Linked DNA regions of Oryctolagus cuniculus. The protein of the gene in region 2 purifies or fractionates together with the protein of the main gene of each other region. This does not show direct contact. Links are inferred from orthologs where the notes say so. Each region holds a gene or a part of one and is shown on either strand. Other genes may lie near its edges.

Region 1 (5,883 bases), about 200 Mb from region 2:
TCCTGCTGGCCCAGCAGCCGTGAGTCTCTGCTGTAACAAGGAACCCTCTGGGGTGTACACATCTAGAAAGACAATAGAATGCACTGTACACACACACAAATTTCGTGGTGGCAAATACAAGTGGAGTCCTGGAGAGATCATCCTGGCCCAGAGCGTCTTGCTAAGGCGATGAGGCAGTGTGGGCCGTTTAGAGCACATTTACACCAGTCTGCTTTCTATCGGGAACCCCTTCCATGCGGTCACTGCTGGGGACCACCACAGGGACCCTGCCTGCACTGTGCCGTCCCTGAGAGCTACAGACGCTCAGGCAGGACAGAGCAGAAGGCTGGGGGTCAGTGAAGGGCACAGCTGCCCAAAATCCTGCCATCAGCAAGGACTCGATGGAGACCCCAGGTTCCTCTTTCCCAGCCGACAGCCTCTGTCTCTACCAAATCCTTCTTCTGTATTTAGTGCCCAGGCCAGCATCAGGTAAGGTTCCACCCATTCTTGATCAGACATTCCAAATTAGAGAAGAGAACTGCCCTGGGGTGTGAGATGGTTACAAATGGGAGCAGTGCTGTGGCACAGTGGGTAAAGCCGCCATCCGCAGCAGCGCCATCCACATCATGCCAGTTCGAGCCCTGGCTGCTCCACTTCTGATCAAGCTCCCTGCTAATGGCCTGGGAAAGCAGTGGAGGATGGCTCAAGTGCTTGGGCCCCTGCACTCACCTGGGACACCCCAAAGAAGCGCCAGGCTCCTGGCTTTGACCTGGCCCAGCCCTGGCTGTTGAGGTCATTCAGGGAGTGAACTAGCAAATGGAAGATATCTCTCTCTCTCTCTCTCTCTCTCTTTTAAAAGATTTTATTTATTTATCTGAAAGAGTTACACAGAGAGAGGAGAGGCAGAGAGAGAGGTCTTCCATCTGATGGTTCACTCCCCAATTGGCCACAATAGCCGGAGCTGCGCTGATCGAAAGCCAGGAGTCAGGAGCTTCTTTCAGGTCTCCCATGCGGATGCAGGGCCCAAGGACTTGGGCCAACTTCTACTGCTTTCCCAGCCACAGCAGAGAGCTGGATCAGAAGTAGAGCAGCCAGGACTCGAATCGGCGCCCATATGGGATGCCAGCACTGCAGGCGGCAGCTTTACCCCCTATGCCACAAGCGCAGGCCTCTCTCCCCATCCCCTGTAATTTTGACTTTCAAATAAGTAAATGAATAAATCTTTTAAAAAAAGTTATAAATAAACAATGCGACAAATGCATATTTTAGGAAAACTCAGCAAATATAAATCATGCATTCGTTCCAAGAGAGCCCCAGGTACAAGCACACAGGCACCTGGCAAACCTCAATTTCTCCCACTGCCCCTAAAATAGACTAAAAACAGCAGTGTCAGTGCCGCACCACACCCTTCCCATCATCCTCCCCACACCATTACCTGCACAGAGTGTTACACTTGAGGGCTCCAGTCCCAAAATTGTTTCCCACGTAGGAAAGTCTCTCTGTTTCAGCTGCCTAAAACACAGGAGAAACCCCATTCATGACCAAGGCTGAGAGGCAGTGAGCATCTTGCCTCATTCTCACATCTGCCAAAGCTTTTAACCCAGAACCACAGTGGCTGAGATGATCCAGCCCCCCCGCCCCCAGCTCCAAGGTAATCTGGGGAAGTCCTGGGGAAAGGCAAGAGGGCTTTAGAAGCGGAAGCCACGGACAGCATCAGCTTCTAACGGGTATGAGACGTTCCTGGGGGCCTGCACCACAGGACAGGACGTAAGCAAGAGGCTCTAAATTTAAACTTGGCCTTCGAGCCCTGGGGAAGACACATTTGTCATGGCAGAAGAGACAGCCCATGCTCCACCTGCACCGCGCTGAGCGGGAGGAAGCCTTACGGGAAAGTTATGCGGCAGTGGCAGGACCTTCTGGCCCAGCCAGTAGGGGCTCTGGGCCAACCAGGCTCTGCATCCTCAGGGTAGCTGTCAAGAAGGGGGCGTGGTGACGGATGAGAAGGTTGCACTTGCCAGTGTGCAACCAAGCGATTCTGCAGGCTACCTCCTCGCCCAGAGTCTAAGCCCGCCTTGATCCTCTGCGCCCACCTCCCCCATGCCTGCTCTTTCTAAACCCTCAGGACCACAGCCACAGCTGACTCGCTCCCTGTAACCGCCAAGCCTTCCTGCTTCCGTTTTTGTCCTTGTTATCTGCTTCACATGGAACCCCAAATCTTGGCTGCCAAACCTTCCCTCCCCTTTCAGGGCTCAGCACTGAAGCACCCACCCCCAGAAGGGGCTTCTGGCAAGCCACTGAGCTCACTCCGCCCTGCACCCTCCCCACCGGGCCCAGAGCTCTGTCTAATGGATGCGTGTCCCGGCAGCCACTCCACACCTCTCTAGGGCACCATCCTGAGGCACAGGACTGCCAGCCACAGCCAGGCATGGCCTATCGGTGTACAGAGGCACCGAAGCCCTGCTCCACAGCACCAGTGGCGCCAGGTCGGAGGGGGCTGTTTCCCTAACTCACCGCACAGGGATGCAGTGCCTGTTCAATAACACATGCTGACAGGACACGTGAATGCACGCCCACCACGCCACCGGAAGTCCCAGAGCTGCGTGGAGCCTGTCCCCACGCCGCAAGCTGCTGGAGCCGGAGCTTTTCCAAAGGCCCCTAGCCATTTTCTCCTCTCCCATCCACCCACACCCCAGGGGCCTCCTAAGGCAGGCAGAGCGGGGCACTGGCAGCCGCAGCGCTTACCAGGATCCGCTGACTCCTCTTCCTGGGGTTTGCGGAGTCGCTGCTCTGGTACAAGGTGAAGCGCATGTTGCCCGGGTTCTGCAGCTTCCCGTTGGAGAATTGGACTGTAAGAGGACCGCCCGACAATGACCACGGTGCATGGTGGGAGGGAGCTACGGCTGGATGGGGCTGGCAAAGAAACGCGGGTAGCGTCCATCCGTCCAAGAAGAGGGGACAGGCTGGCGGGGCGAGCGGGGCGGGGGGCGGAGGCAGCTGAGACAAGAGGAAACGGCGGCGGGGATGAGGCTGACCCAGGGGCCTGGTCCAGACCTGGGGAGGGAGAATCCGCGCCCAGCGGAGAGAGGGAAAGGGGGCAGGTGGGAGACCTGGCGGGGGAGGGGAGGGCAGCGTCCCGGGCACCGCCCTGGGGAGGGGGCGATGGAGATGTCCTCATGCAGCTGGGAAGTACCGACAGAAAGGTTGCGGGATGCCCCTTGCCGAGTCCCAGGCAGCGGTGGAGACGCCAGGGGGCCCTGACGCATTGGGCGGGAAGGGAGACCTGGAGAGGTACCGAGACGGAAGGGGAGCCCCGCTCCAGCGCCGCAGTCCTCACCCAGTACAGCTTTCTGGCTCTCGTCGGGCTCCCCACAGTACAGCCACGTCGCACTCGGCAACACATCTGCGGCCATCCCGTCCGTCAGGCCGTCAAACCCAGGAGTTTCCACAACTGCCGACTCTGCAGCGACGGTCCTCACGCGGCTGCCGGGCTGAGCGGCGAACCGGAAGGGGCGTGGCCTCAGGGCACCGGCCGAGTACGCAGCCGTGCGTGGCACGCCCCCTGGAGGAGCCGCGTGAGCCCCGCCCGCCGTTAGCTCCGCCCCTTCTCATCCGTCACCACGCCCCCTTCTTGACAGCTACCCTGAGGATGCAGAGCCTGGTTGGCCCAGCGCTCCTTCTGGCTGGGCCAGAAGATCTTGCCACTGCCGCATAACTTTCCCGTAAGGCGGTGCAGGTGGAGCATGGGCTGTCTCTTCTACCATGACAAATGTGTCTTCCCCAGGGCTCGAAGGCCAAGTTTAAATTTAGAATCATCTGACAGGAATTTTTTGAGCCTCGGCTAAATGTGGCAGCTGACAGAGGGCCACCCCAACTCTGAGGTGAGGTGTCCCATACAAGACACGTGGCCGTGCAGCCCTTGAGACCAAGCATTGTCCAGAGCCCGGCAAGCATCTCGCTGCCTGGGTCTCACCTCAAAGCCAGATGTTCACCTGTGGCCTCTCAGCCTTGGGAGGATGGGCTGGGGGGAAAGGCCCACCAGGCTCAGGGCATTGGGGCAGAGGATTCTGGAGTGGTCTAGAAGGTGTAGTTTGTTTTTGTTTTTGTTTTTAAGATTTCTTATTTATTTGAAAGTCAGAGTTACACAGAGAGAGGAGAGGCAGAGAGAGGTCTTCCATCCAATGGTTCACTCCCCAGATGGCTGCAACGGAGGGAGCTGCATCAATCAGAAGCCAGGAGCTTCTTCCGGGTCTCCCATGCGGGTGCAGGGGCCCAAGGACTTGGGCCATCTTCTACTGCTTTCCCAGGCCACAGCAGAGAGCTGGATCGGAAGAGGAGCAGCCGGGACTAGAACCAGTGCCCATATGATGCTGGTGCTTCAGGCCAGGGCATTAACCTGCTGCTCCACAGCGCCGGCCCCTAGAAGGTATAGTCTTTTCTAGCTGATGAATGTGTCCCTTTGTCCCTGTGGATTCAAACCTTTAAAGTCTCCTAACTGCCTTCTTTAAAGACAGCCTCATCCTGACCATGACACCCAGAGTCCTCCAAATAATCTTTACACCTGCACCCCCTTTCCTGAGCACTCATTACATTTTTCTCATTGCCCAATCTCAAACTTACAGAAACATTGCAAGTACCGTGCAAAATACTTTCTTTGGCCCTGAGCCATTTAGAGCAAGTTGCCTGCCTGGTATCCCTCTACCCCTGAAGACTATAGTATTTCCTACAGGAAAAGGACAAGGACAAGGACAAGGTCGCTCTCTAAATAACTACAGTACAACTATCAAAATCAGGAAATGAACATTGTTATGTCCCTGCTATATAATCCGCACACCCCTTTTAAGTTCTCCAATTGTCTTAATGCTGTGTTTGCTTTTATTAGGAAGGAACAGAGAAACAGAGACAGAGAGAATCTCCCATATTGGAATGCTTTGCCCAAATGCTTTGCAATATCTAGCTAGGAGCTGGAAAAACAATCCAGGTCTCTCATGTGGTAAGGACCCAAGTACTTGAACCATTACCTACTGCATCCCAGGATGAGCAATAGCAGGAAGCTGGATTCAGAAGCAGAGCCAGGACTCAAACCCAGGCACTCCTATGTGGGATACACGCATCCTAGGCAGAGTCTTAAACACTAGTCCCCTCCTCTGTCTTAATTTTTTTTTTAAGATTTATTTACTTATTTGAAAGGTAGAGTTATTGAGCGAGAAAGAGACACAGAGAGAATGAGCTTCCATCGACTGGTTCACTCCCCAAATGGCTGCAACAAACAGGACTGAGCCAGGACAAAGCCAAGAGCCAGAAGCTTCTTCCAGGTCTCCCACATGGCTGCATCTTGGACCATCCCCTTAGCAGGAGCTGGATCGGAAGTAGAACAGTTGGAACTTGAACCAGCACCTGTATGGGATGCCAGTGTCACAGGCGGTGGCTTTACCTACTACGCCACAGTGCGAGCCTCAGACTGATTCTCTTTTAAGGCACATCTCTGCCAGTCAGACAAATCTGTTGGGAGTCCTCAGGATGGGCTGCTATGCGGCTGGGCAGAGGAGTCAGAGTCGCACATGTCTACAAAATGCAGACACTGCCAGAATTCCCACAAGCAAGAGTGCAATGTCATGGAGATTGTAACTGGGGAAGGAAAGTGTTAATAGTAGGGCAGCTGGCACCCACATGGGAGACCTGGATGGATGGAGCTCCAGGCTCCTGGCTTCTGCCTGGCTTGGTCCTGGCCATTGCAGCCATTTGGCAGCAGATGGAAGGTGTGTGTGCGTGTAATTCTGCCTTTCAAATAAATAAATCTTCAAAAAAAAAAAAATAGAGCAGCTGAGAATGTGGTATACTCCTATGTTGCTTAATTATTACAGTGGTTCAAAACACATACATACACATACTACACACACACACACA
Region 2 (4,698 bases):
TGAGTGGACACTACTGACGCCGGAGGAAGCCACGCCCCCGTCACACCCATACCCGGACCCCCACCGCGCCGGCCACGCCCCGTCACTGCTCGGCTGTCTGGGGGCTTGGGCTCCCTGCCACCCACTACTGACCCACAGGAAGCCACGCCCCGGACCCCCACCACACCCCAGTGCCTTTCGCTGCTCAGCTTTCTGCTTGGGGGGCCTGGGCTCCGGCACCCCACTGCGGAGTGGAGACTACTGACCCTGAGGAAGCCACGCCTCTGCCCCCACCCGTGCCAGCCTCTCACACCCAGAGGCGGCCAAGTGCCTTTCACTGTACAGCTTTCTGCGGGGGGGGGGGGGGGGCGGCTCCAGCAGCGCCCCCTCCCACAGTCTTGGGGGACCCTTGGACGCCTGTGTTGGGTCTGGAGTGCGCCTGCCCAGCCCAAGCCCCCTCCTCTGCCCCCTCCCCCAGGAGGTCCCTGTGTGGGGCCGGGGGCCTGCTGCACCCCAGTCTGTCACGTGACGGGCTTAATAAAGTGCGTGGAGTGGACAGTGAAGCTCCTGCCTCAGGCACGCGCAGGCTAGCAGGGGTGGACCCGGCTCGCAGGCTGGGCGGGGGCACCGCTGGGGGCCGGTGTGAGGGGCTCCGCCTGAGCGTAGGGGTGCTGGCGTCTCCAGCTGGCCCTGGGCCCACTGTGGTCACTGTGGCACAGGCAGTGAGCAGACGAGGGGCCTGCAGGTCCTGCCAGGAGCCGGGGACAGCTCTGCGATGCGGCCAACACCCTGGGGACAGCAGTGGCTCGGCCACCATGGCCCTGCTCTGCCCTGGTCCCCGTCCCCAGCTGACCGCGGGCTCGGCCCCGTGTGGGTTGCTGGGAGTAGCTGCTCCCTGGCCCTCAGCCTGGGCCCGCAGGGACAGCCCGGGAAGGGCCCCCGGGAGCCTGAGGGCGCTCAGGGCTGGTGCGACCCCGACAGGGCCACAGGGTGGGGACCCAGGCAAGGGCAGCCGCTGACCGCAGCAGGCAGTGCAGGCTCGGACGAGCAGCCACGCTGGGTGGGCGGGGACCAGGGAGCAGGAACCAGGACCCCGAGACAGCTGGGCCAGGTGGACTGGGGGGGGGGGGGCGGAGCGAGGCCAAGGAGGGGACCAGTGGTGTTTGTGCAAGGACTTTACTGGGCGGCTGGCGACATGCGTGCGCGCGGCCCGCCTCTGCTCCCGGCGTCTGACAGCCCGGCCGCGAGGACGCAGGGCAGGACGCCGCGGGCCATGGCGGGGCGGCGCTACTTCTCCAGGGGCGCGTAGTTGAGCAGTTTCTCGATGAGGTCCACGTGGGCCAGCAGCATTCGGCGGCAGCAGTAGCGCTTCAGCCCCAGGGCGTCCAGGGCGTCCCTGCGACCAGACAGCAGTGAGGCGGCCTGCGCCGGGCTCGCCCCCAGCGCGCCCCTTCCCACCCGGGGGCTCCGGCCTCCCGGCCCAGCCCGGGCCCAGCGGCCGGAGCATCCCTGCGACCAGACAGCCGGGCTCGCCCCTGCTCCAGGCCAGGTGGACAGGTCCCCCCAGGATGCACCGGGGAGGAGCCACCCAGGGCCACCCCTTCCCCACCCAGAGGCTCCAGCCTCCCGGCCCAGCCCCGGCCCGCCCTCTCCCAGGCTGGGCTCACGGTGGCCAGGGCAGCCCCGGCGCCCCCTCCCCCGGGGGCCGGGACTCCCGACCACGACCGCAGCCCCGCGGGACCCCCACTCTCAGGGAGCCACCCTTCTACTTCCGGAAACCAACGAGACGCTTCCAGAAAACTCCTGCAGCGCTGGCTCCGGGGGGCGGAGGAGGCGGCTTGGGAGTGAGAAGGCGCGACCGAGGGGCCTCGGCAAAGCAGCCCCTGCCCCTCCGCCCCGCCGCAGCCCCGCGTCAGCCCGCGGCGCGGGACAGGAGGCGCGGGTGGGCCCGGTCCCCGCCCCGCCCCGCCCCCGGGCCCCACGCGCCCGGCGCCTCACCCCTCGGTGTACTCCGCCTGCAGCAGCCCCAGGTAGGCCTCCCACTTGTTGCCGACGATCTTGCCGCACGTGAAACAGCGCACCGGGATGATCATGGCGGCGCGCACTCCGCGGCAGCCCCGCGCACTGCCGGGCCCGTCCGCGGCGCTGCAGGCCCCGCCCCGGGCGCGCCCACTGGCGCGGGGTTCCTCGGCGCCGATTGGAGGCCGCGTCCGGCGGCGCCCCCCGTCCGGCGGTTTGGTACGTGCCGCGCTACGGCGACTGGGCTCGGCCAAAAGGGCTCGGCGGCGCCGGTTCGCGTTTCTCGTGTCCGCTTGACTGACAGCTGCGCGGCGGGAGCGGACGACGCGGTGCGGCGGCGGGAGGCGGCGGCCCAGGTACTACGCGGGCGCCGGCTGGACCCGGACGCGGACATCAGCCGCGGCGCGCGAGCGCCACCTCCAGTGCGGAGCCCCAGGCCGGTCGCAGCAACAAGTGGGGCCGGGCGAGGGGCCCGGCGAGAGGGTCTGGCCCCGGGGCGGGAGGCCTCGGACGGACCTTCCCGCCTCCCGGCCCGGCCCGGCCTGGACCCGGTCGCTGTCCCTTGAGCCCTGCGCGAGGCTCGGGTCCCCGCGGGGAGTTGCTGGGAGCCCCGACGGCAGTCTGTCGGCGTCTTGTTCGCTCTTTCCCGGGCCTGGCGCTGGGCGTGTGGTCAGCCCCTTTGAGCTGACCCTCGAAGGCCAGGGCCCCCGCGTAGGGGCAGCCCCAGCTGTGCGTCCCCTTCAGGGGCTCCACGGGCGGGGCTGCTGCCTCCCGGGTGGACCGGGCTGAGCCTGGTGCCCCGGCTGCCCCAGGCGGGCTGGGGAGCCGCAGGGCTGTGGGGGTGTTGCCCGTGGCCCCCGCGGGGCTCTGGCCAGGTTTGCTGGCCTTGGATGTGTGGCCGGGGCGGGGTCCTCACGCGGGACCCCGGCATCTGCTGAGTGCCCGCTCAGGGCAGACGCTGGACAGGGACGGGGACGAAGGGTCTCAGGTCCGGAGTGGGGCTGCCCAGAGCCACTGCCCTGCCAGGGTTAGTGCCCTCTCGGCCACGTGCGGAGCCACGAGCCCTGGCCACTTCCCTTCTCTGCCTCCCTCCCCCAGGCTGAGTGGACGCACATCCTGCCCTGGCCAGAGGGGCAGGATGGGGCCGTGAGTCACCGTGGCCTGGGGTCAGACCCAGGCTCGGCGGCCGCGGCTGTGGAGGAGAGGGAGCCCGGGTCCGGGAGGCCAGCCCGGTGGGCGCCCAGCGCGTGAGTGGGGCCTTCCTGGGGGAGGGGTCAGGGGCCTGCCCCGCCCCTGCTCCCACTGGGCGCCGCTGTTTACTGTGGGAGTGGGGGAGTGAGCCGCCCTCCCCTGCGGGGGCCCTGGCCAAGGCGGCATTCCTGGGATTCCGCGTGCGTGCCGACCTGAGGTGGGGGGGCTCCCGGATGTCCCCCAGCGCGCCCCGCCCCCTCTGCACTTGCGCCTGCTGGGGAGCCTCGAGGGGTCAGCCCTGGCCTGGCCCGTGGTGGCGTGGGGGGCAGCAGCTGGGCCTCTCTGGGGAGGGTGGGGGGCTTTCCTGGTGGTGCTGGCCAGAGGAGGGGGGGTCACGTCAGGGCAGGGGACCGGGAAACTCGTGACAGGTTTCAGCTGCCAAGCCCCGCCCCCCGGGCGTTGCCCTGGAAACAGGCCAGCGGCAGGGCCGCGGTGGGTGCTGGGCAGCCAGGGGCAGTGCGCGGGGGGGGGGGGGGGGGGGGGGCGGGCGGGATTCGCAGACCCTGCCCCTCGTCCCCAGGACGCAGCCTCAGTTTCCCCGTCTGTAAGACTTTGGCTGAGCAGGGTGGGGACGCTCGTGCCGGGACCCCGGCCTCCACCCCTACTCCTGCCTGCTGGCGTGTGCTGTGTGCATGCCGCCCGCACGGGGCCAGGAACACGGGTGTGGACAGCTCACACGTGCTGCCGCTGAGAGCCCCTCGCAGCCCTCACAGCCCTGCGCTGTGGCGTCTGCAGATGGGAGTGAGCTGCCCGGGCCAGGAGGCGTGGGGGGGCAGGCCCGCCCTTCCCCCACTCCCGTGTGATCCAGGGTGCTGAGCCAGGAGCTGGCCTCCCGTGGGACAGGCGGTGGCAGAGCCGTCTCAGCCTCCAGCCGGGCCGGGTCCCGCCCAGGCCATGTGTGCAGCCTCTGTGTGCAGGCGCCAGGCCGCCTGGGCCCCGGGTTTGTGGTGCCCACCCCTGAGGGCCTGGAGTGGACACCTCGGTCTGTTTGTGTTGGAGGTGCTGGCCGCCTCCTCCAAGCCGCCCCTGAGCCGGCTCAGCCTGGGGCCTCCGTGGGCGGGCTGGCAGGGCTGCCACCACGCCGCCGAGGCTCCCAGCCGCCGTGGGTCTCCGTCTCACCATCTGGGGGGCCTGTCTGAGCGGCCTGGCCAGGTGGGTGTCCCTGTCCCCTGCTTCCCTCATGCACCCCTACAGGGCTGTGGCCTTGAACTCCTGGGGCCTCCGGCCAGCCAGCCAGGGTGGGATTGGAGCCCTTGTGTGTGAGGGGACATGGCCAGGACATGTGAAGCCGGCAGGGCTGGGAGAAGCCCCCGTGAGCAGTCCTGGGGGCAGGGGGAGCGCAGAGCCCCTGCTGGCCGGACAGACGGCGGGTGGATGAGCCTAGGGTCAAGGCTTGTCCCTGAGGCCCCCTCTGAGCTGGGGAGGGGACAGAGCTGTCCCTGTGCCCTC
Region 3 (5,895 bases), on a different chromosome or scaffold from region 2:
CCACATGGGTGCCGGTTCGAGTCCCGGCTACTCTTCTTCCGATCCAGCTCTCTGCTATGGCCTGGGAAAGCAGTGGAAGATGGCCCAAGTCCTTGGGTCCCTGCACCTGCGCAGGAGACCCGGAAGAAGCTCCTGGCTCCTGGCTTCGGATCGGCACAGCTCCAGCCGTTGAGGCCATCTGGGAAGTGAACCATCAGATGGAAGACCTCTCTCTCTCTGCCTCTCCTCTCTCTGTGTAACTCTGACTTTCAAATAAATAAATCCTTAAAAAAATCAATAAATAGATCATAAGGAAAAAAAGAGAGAGAGAGATTCAACCAGGAACAGGCACTGTGGTGCAGCTTGGGACAGGTGCACCCTGTATCACAGTGCCAGTCTGAGCCCAGCTACTGTACTTCTGAGCCAGTCCCTGCTAGTACACCCGGGAAGGAGTCTACGATGGCTCAAGTACTTGGGCTCCTGCCACCCACGTGGGAGACCAGATGGAGATTCCAGCTCTAGGTCTCAGCCTGGCCCAGCTCCAGCTATTGTGGCCATCTCCAGAGTGAACCAAAGCAGAAGAGCTCTCTCCCTCTCTCCTTCCAACTCTGCCTTTCAAATAAATAAAAGCTAAATCTGAAAAACACACTCAACCAAGGTCCCCAACTAGAGGTTGCCTTGAGAATATAACCCCTGCCTATGACTCCAAGACTTAAACCAAAACTTGGTGTAACAATTATAAAATAACAAATATTATAATTATAATATTTATTATAAAATAACAAATATTATTTTTGTTGCTTTATAATAACAATAATTATAATATCTTCCTTTTTTTTTTTTGACAGGCAGAGTGGACAGTGAGAGAAAGAGACAGAGAGAAAGGTCTTCCTTTTGCCGTTGGTTCACCCTCCAATGGCCGCCGCGCTGCGGCCGGCGCACCGCGCTGATCCGAAGGCAGGAGCCAGGTGCTTCTCCTGGTCTCCCATGGGGTGCAGGGCCCAAGCACTTGGGCCATCCTCCACTGCCCTCCCGGGCCACAGCAGAGAGCTGGCCTGGAAGAGGAGCAACCAGGACAGAATCCGGTGCCCCGACCGGGACTAGAACCCGGGGTGCCGGCGCCGCAGGCGAAGGATTAGCCTAGTGAGCCGCGGCACCGGCCGAAGGCAATATCTTCCATTCTGAGGTGCTTACATCATCCAAGTGATCAGATGAGACAGGGCACAGTTAGCAACCTCAGGCCACTCCCAGCTCGGAGTCAGAAAAGGTTCCCCTCACCTGCAGTGGAGTCAACATTCTCCCAGGCGGCCGCTCCCCCAAGCACGTCGTCCACTTCTTTCAGCTTCGGATACTTCCGGTTTGTGACCTAACAGAAACAAGTCCTCAGCCTCCAAGCAAGGGGACAGGACCACCAGGGCAGAGAATGGAGGGAGCCCAGCAGACGCACAGCCGTGAGGAGGAGGGGAAGTGACAGGCGCTAACCATGTGTGCGCGAGAGTGCGCGGCTGGCCGGCTGGGCACCCCGGGGCTCCAGGTGCGTGCCAGGCCAGTGCGGGCGGCTGGCCGGCTGGGCACCCCGGGGGCTCCAGGTGGGTGCCAGGCCAGTGCGCGCGACTCGCCGGCTGGACACCCCGGGGCTCCAGGTGCACGGCAGACCAGTGCGGGCGGCTCGCCGGCTGGACACCCCGGGGCTCCAGGTGCACGGCAGACCAGTGCGGGCGGCTCGCCGGCTGGACACCCCGGGGCTCCAGGTGCACGGCAGACCAGTGCGGGCGGCTCGCCGGCTGGACACCCCGGGGCTCCAGGTGCGTGCCAGGCCAGTGCGGGCGGCTGGCCGACTGGACACCCCGGGGCTCCAGGTGCGTGCCAGGCCAGTGCGGGCGGCTCGCCGGCTGGACACCCCGGGGCTCCAGGTGCAGGGCAGACCAGTGCGCGCGGCTCGCCAACTGGACACCCCGGGGCTCCAGGTGCACGGCAGACCAGTGCGGGCGGCTCGCCGGCTGGACACCCCGGGGCTCCAGGTGGGTGCCAGGCCAGTGCGGGCGGCTCGCCGGCTGGGCACCCCGGGGCTCCAGGTGCAGGGCAGACCAGTGCGCGCGGCTGGCCGGCTGGACACCCCGGGGCTCCAGGTGGGTGCCAGGCCAGTGCGGGCGGCTCGCCGGCTGGACACCCCGGGGCTCCAGGTGGGTGCCAGGCCAGTGCGGGCGGCTCGCCAGTTGGACACCCTGGGGCTCCAGGTGCGTGCCAGGCCAGTGCGCGCGGCTCGCCGGCTGGGCACCCCGGGGCTCCAGGTGCACACCAGACCAGTGCGCGCGGCTCGCCAGCTGGACACCCCGGGGCTTCAGGTGCACGGCAGACCAGTGCGGGCGGCTGGCCGGCTGGACACCCGGGGGCTCCAGGTGGGTGCCAGGCCAGTGCGGGCGGCTCGCCGGCTGGACACCCCGGGGCTCCAGGTGCAGGGCAGACCAGTGCGCGCGGCTCGCCAACTGGACACCCCGGGGCTCCAGGTGCACGGCAGACCAGTGCGGGCGGCTCGCCGGCTGGACACCCCGGGGCTCCAGGTGGGTGCCAGGCCAGTGCGGGCGGCTCGCCGGCTGGGCACCCCGGGGCTCCAGGTGCAGGGCAGACCAGTGCGCGCGGCTGGCCGGCTGGACACCCCGGGGCTCCAGGTGGGTGCCAGGCCAGTGCGGGCGGCTCGCCGGCTGGACACCCCGGGGCTCCAGGTGGGTGCCAGGCCAGTGCGGGCGGCTCGCCAGTTGGACACCCTGGGGCTCCAGGTGCGTGCCAGGCCAGTGCGCGCGGCTCGCCGGCTGGGCACCCCGGGGCTCCAGGTGCACACCAGACCAGTGCGCGCGGCTCGCCAGCTGGACACCCCGGGGCTTCAGGTGCACGGCAGACCAGTGCGGGCGGCTGGCCGGCTGGACACCCCGGGGCTCCAGGTGGGTGCCAGGCCAGTGCGGGCGGCTGGCCGGCTGGACACCCCGGGGCTCCAGGTGGGTGCCAGGCCAGTGCGCGCGGCTCGCCGGCTGGACACCCCGGGGCTCCAGGTGCGAGCCAGGCGGCCGGACAAACACAGGGAAGGAGGCCTGCCGAGGCCTTCTGCCCTGGACCGCGCTCGGACCACAAGGCAGCAGAAGGGACCGAGGGGGGCGGGAGCACTCCAGGGAGCGCGAGTAAACGGAGGCCGCCCGAGGAACGCCGGGCGCCACGCGGGACGCGGAGCGGCACCGAGGGCGGCCGCGGCCGGAGCTGGAGCCGCCGCCCTGCCCCGACCAGGCGACTCCGAAACCAGCCCCAGAAGGGAGGCGGCGGCCGGGCCAGGCGAGAGGCGCCGGCGTGCGCGCGTCTTGGACAGATGCGCCCACAGGCCAGGGACGCGAGGCCGGGGCCGCCGGAGGCCGACCCTAACGTCGAGGCCCACCTTGCGGGTGATGTTGTGCACGTAGGGGCAGGTGTTGCAGGCGAAGCGGTGGCAGCGCTGGCCCTCCTCCACGATCAGCCCGTTCCCGCAGCCGGGGCAGAACAGCAGCATGGCGGCGCCCTGGCCCGCGCGCCCCCACGGCCGGAAGCTCCCTGGCCGCGCGACGCCGACACCCCGCCCACCTCGACCTCACGTTGGTCCCGGCGGCCCCCGCCGCTAGCCCACCAATAGACACGCCGACCCTCGCTCCCAGCCGGCCCTGCGGCAAGCCGCCTCGCACTCCCATTGGTTGGGGCGCCCGCCCCGCCCCTTGGCCCGCCGGTGGTTGGACGTCCTCACGGAGGTGGGCCCAGTCCGCGTCCGTGCTCCGCCTCCCGAGCGTGGAGTGGCTGGGCCGGCGGCCGGCGGCTCCGGGCTGGCGACCGTGGAGGCAGCGGAGCAGGCCGAGGAGGCCGAGGGGCCCGAGGTGCCGGAGGAGGATGAGGACGAAGAGGAGACGCTGCCTCACTCGGAAGCGGTGGACGTGTTCCAGGAGGGTCTCGCCATGGTGGTGCAGGACCCGCTGCTCTGCGACCTGCCGATCCAGGTGCGCGCGGCCAGAGCGGCCACCTGCCGCCGGAGAGGTGCTGATGGGGGACTGCGGCCGGCCTGGTCCGGGCCCGGCGTGAAGGGGCAGGGGAAACGGTGCCAAACTTGATGCAGAAGGTTGTCGGTAAAGGACAGTTGAAGAATGGGAGCTCCGGCTGCTCCGCTCCCTTCCGGCTCCCTGCCAGCGCTCCTCGGGGAGCGGCGGAGGGCGGCCCAGTGCCTGGGGCCCGGTGAGGCTCCCGGCCCCTGGCTTCGGCGTGGCCTAGCCCTGGGTGCTGGGGCCGTTTGCGGATGGAAGACTCGTGTTTCTCTCCCCTCTCCTTCCTCCCCGCCCCGCCCCCGTCAAATAAGTAGATGCAGAGGCGAATTTCCTCTAAGAAAAGTGTTATACTGCAGTCTTATCACTGCCGTGTGTTCCTGCCTTGTGTATTTTGCACACATGCCTCCCACTTAGTCCAGGGCTCTGGCCTGGATCCTGGTGACCAGGGGCTCTTGGGCAAACTGAAAGGCCCAGCGTCTCCCTCCTCCCCCCCCAGCAGCCCCTGGGGGCTCACTCTCCCTGCTTCCACAGCCATTCGGCATGAAATAGAGAAGTCGGGTGGAACCTGAGACTGAGGTGCTAAAGGGAGCCCCTCCCCCGGCCCTCCATAAAGTTTGGTTCCGTTTGGGCTGATAAACAAAGCCAGGGTTCCCACTGCCCCTGCTTGGCGCTTTCTAGGTGACTTTGGAAGAGATCAACTCCCAGATTGCACTAGAATACGGCCAAGCGATGACGGTCCGAGTGTCCAAGATGGACGGAGAAGTCATGCGTGAGTGCCGCTCTCCGCTTCAGATGGTAGCGGGCCTGGCCGTCGGGAAACCCGCAGGCGGAAGCCAGGGCTGTGAATCCCCACCCCACGTCTTCTCCCTGCAGCTGTGGTCGTGGTGCAGAACGCCACGGTCCTGGACCTGAAGAAGGCCATCCAGAGATACGTGCAGCTCAAGCAGGAGCGAGAAGGGGGCATTCAGCACATCAGCTGGTGAGTGGGACAGCAGCCCCGTCACGGCCCGTCACAGGGGCCTGCAGGAAAGCTCCCTCCGCTGCTCTTACACGTCTCTCGTCATGTCACCCAGCTGAGCTGCTGATACCTTCACTTGGGGACACTTAGGACACTAGTGTGTCCAGAAGTGGCCTCCCCAGTGTCGGCTGGAGCACCGTCCATGGCCTACGCTGGTGACAGCTGGAGCACCATCCGTGGCCCTGTCCCTTCCTCAGACACTGCTGGCCTCGCTGTCCTGCTGAGTCGCGTGTCCTCACAGCAGCTCAGCACTGCCGTCTGTCTCCTTCGCGAGGTGTGCGGGGCCCAGCTGCCCCTCTGCCCCTCTGGCAGGCCCCACGGCACTGTCCCCCCGAGCTGCCGCGCTCGGCCTGCTCGGGAGTTTACCTGAGGCCCCCCGTGCAGGTCCTACGTGTGGAGGACGTACCACCTGACCTCTGCGGGAGAGAAGCTCACAGAGGACAGGAAGAAGCTCCGCGAGTAAGTCCAGGGAGGGGTCACGTGGTCTGCTGCCTCCGCGGGGCTCAGGAGATGGCAGGCAGCGGAGCAGAGCATGGGCACTGCTGGTTCTCTCCAGCCGTGGCTCAGGGCTGCACAGCTCGGGGCGACGCGTGCAAGTGAACCGCGGCCGGCTGCTCCTCTCGGGCCTGCGGGCGGGCGCGCACGCCTCACCTGTGGCTCACTCGGGGTCTCCCACACCCCTGCGGTGGGGACTTACACACCCACCTGCAGTCAGACACTGCGCCTTTTGTCCTTTCAGTTACGGGATCCGCAATCGGGACGAGGTTTCCTTCATCAAAAAGCTGAGGCAGAAGTGAGCCTCCAGACAAGACAGCCCTGCACCAGTGGCCAGGCTCCTCCTGGGCTGTG

What was found. Proteins that work in one complex are often made in the same cells at the same time.
Region 1: the proteins of POLR2L (region 2) and POLR1E purify together in Homo sapiens (affinity purification with mass spectrometry; 3 studies listed by BioGRID and IntAct, with this or other methods). This does not show direct contact. The link is inferred for Oryctolagus cuniculus from reciprocal best matches to the Homo sapiens genes POLR2L and POLR1E.
Region 3: the proteins of POLR2L (region 2) and POLR3K purify together in Homo sapiens (affinity purification with mass spectrometry; 3 studies listed by BioGRID and IntAct, with this or other methods). This does not show direct contact. The link is inferred for Oryctolagus cuniculus from reciprocal best matches to the Homo sapiens genes POLR2L and POLR3K.

What each region holds. Positions count from the first base shown.
Region 1 is NC_091432.1:200,289,153-200,295,035, reverse strand, and holds the start of POLR1E (DNA-directed RNA polymerase I subunit RPA49), read right to left. Parts: upstream 3,512-5,883; 5' UTR 3,390-3,511; coding exon 3,314-3,389; intron 2,826-3,313; coding exon 2,722-2,825; intron 1,492-2,721; coding exon 1,415-1,491; intron 1-1,414. UniProt on the Homo sapiens protein: Component of RNA polymerase I (Pol I), a DNA-dependent RNA polymerase which synthesizes ribosomal RNA precursors using the four ribonucleoside triphosphates as substrates.
Region 2 is NC_091432.1:352,938-357,635, forward strand, and holds POLR2L (DNA-directed RNA polymerases I, II, and III subunit RPABC5), read right to left. Parts: upstream 2,143-4,698; 5' UTR 2,073-2,142; coding exon 1,978-2,072; intron 1,376-1,977; coding exon 1,267-1,375; 3' UTR 1,140-1,266; downstream 1-1,139. UniProt on the Homo sapiens protein: DNA-dependent RNA polymerase catalyzes the transcription of DNA into RNA using the four ribonucleoside triphosphates as substrates.
Region 3 is NC_091450.1:34,569,190-34,575,084, reverse strand, and holds the start of POLR3K (DNA-directed RNA polymerase III subunit RPC10), read right to left. Parts: upstream 3,512-5,895; coding exon 3,401-3,511; intron 1,346-3,400; coding exon 1,258-1,345; intron 1-1,257. Other genes in the region: SNRNP25 (U11/U12 small nuclear ribonucleoprotein 25 kDa protein), read left to right, coding at 3,945-3,986, 4,707-4,797, 4,902-5,007, 5,431-5,505, 5,786-5,843. UniProt on the Homo sapiens protein: Core component of RNA polymerase III (Pol III) which synthesizes small non-coding RNAs using the four ribonucleoside triphosphates as substrates. Can mediate Pol I proofreading of the nascent RNA transcript.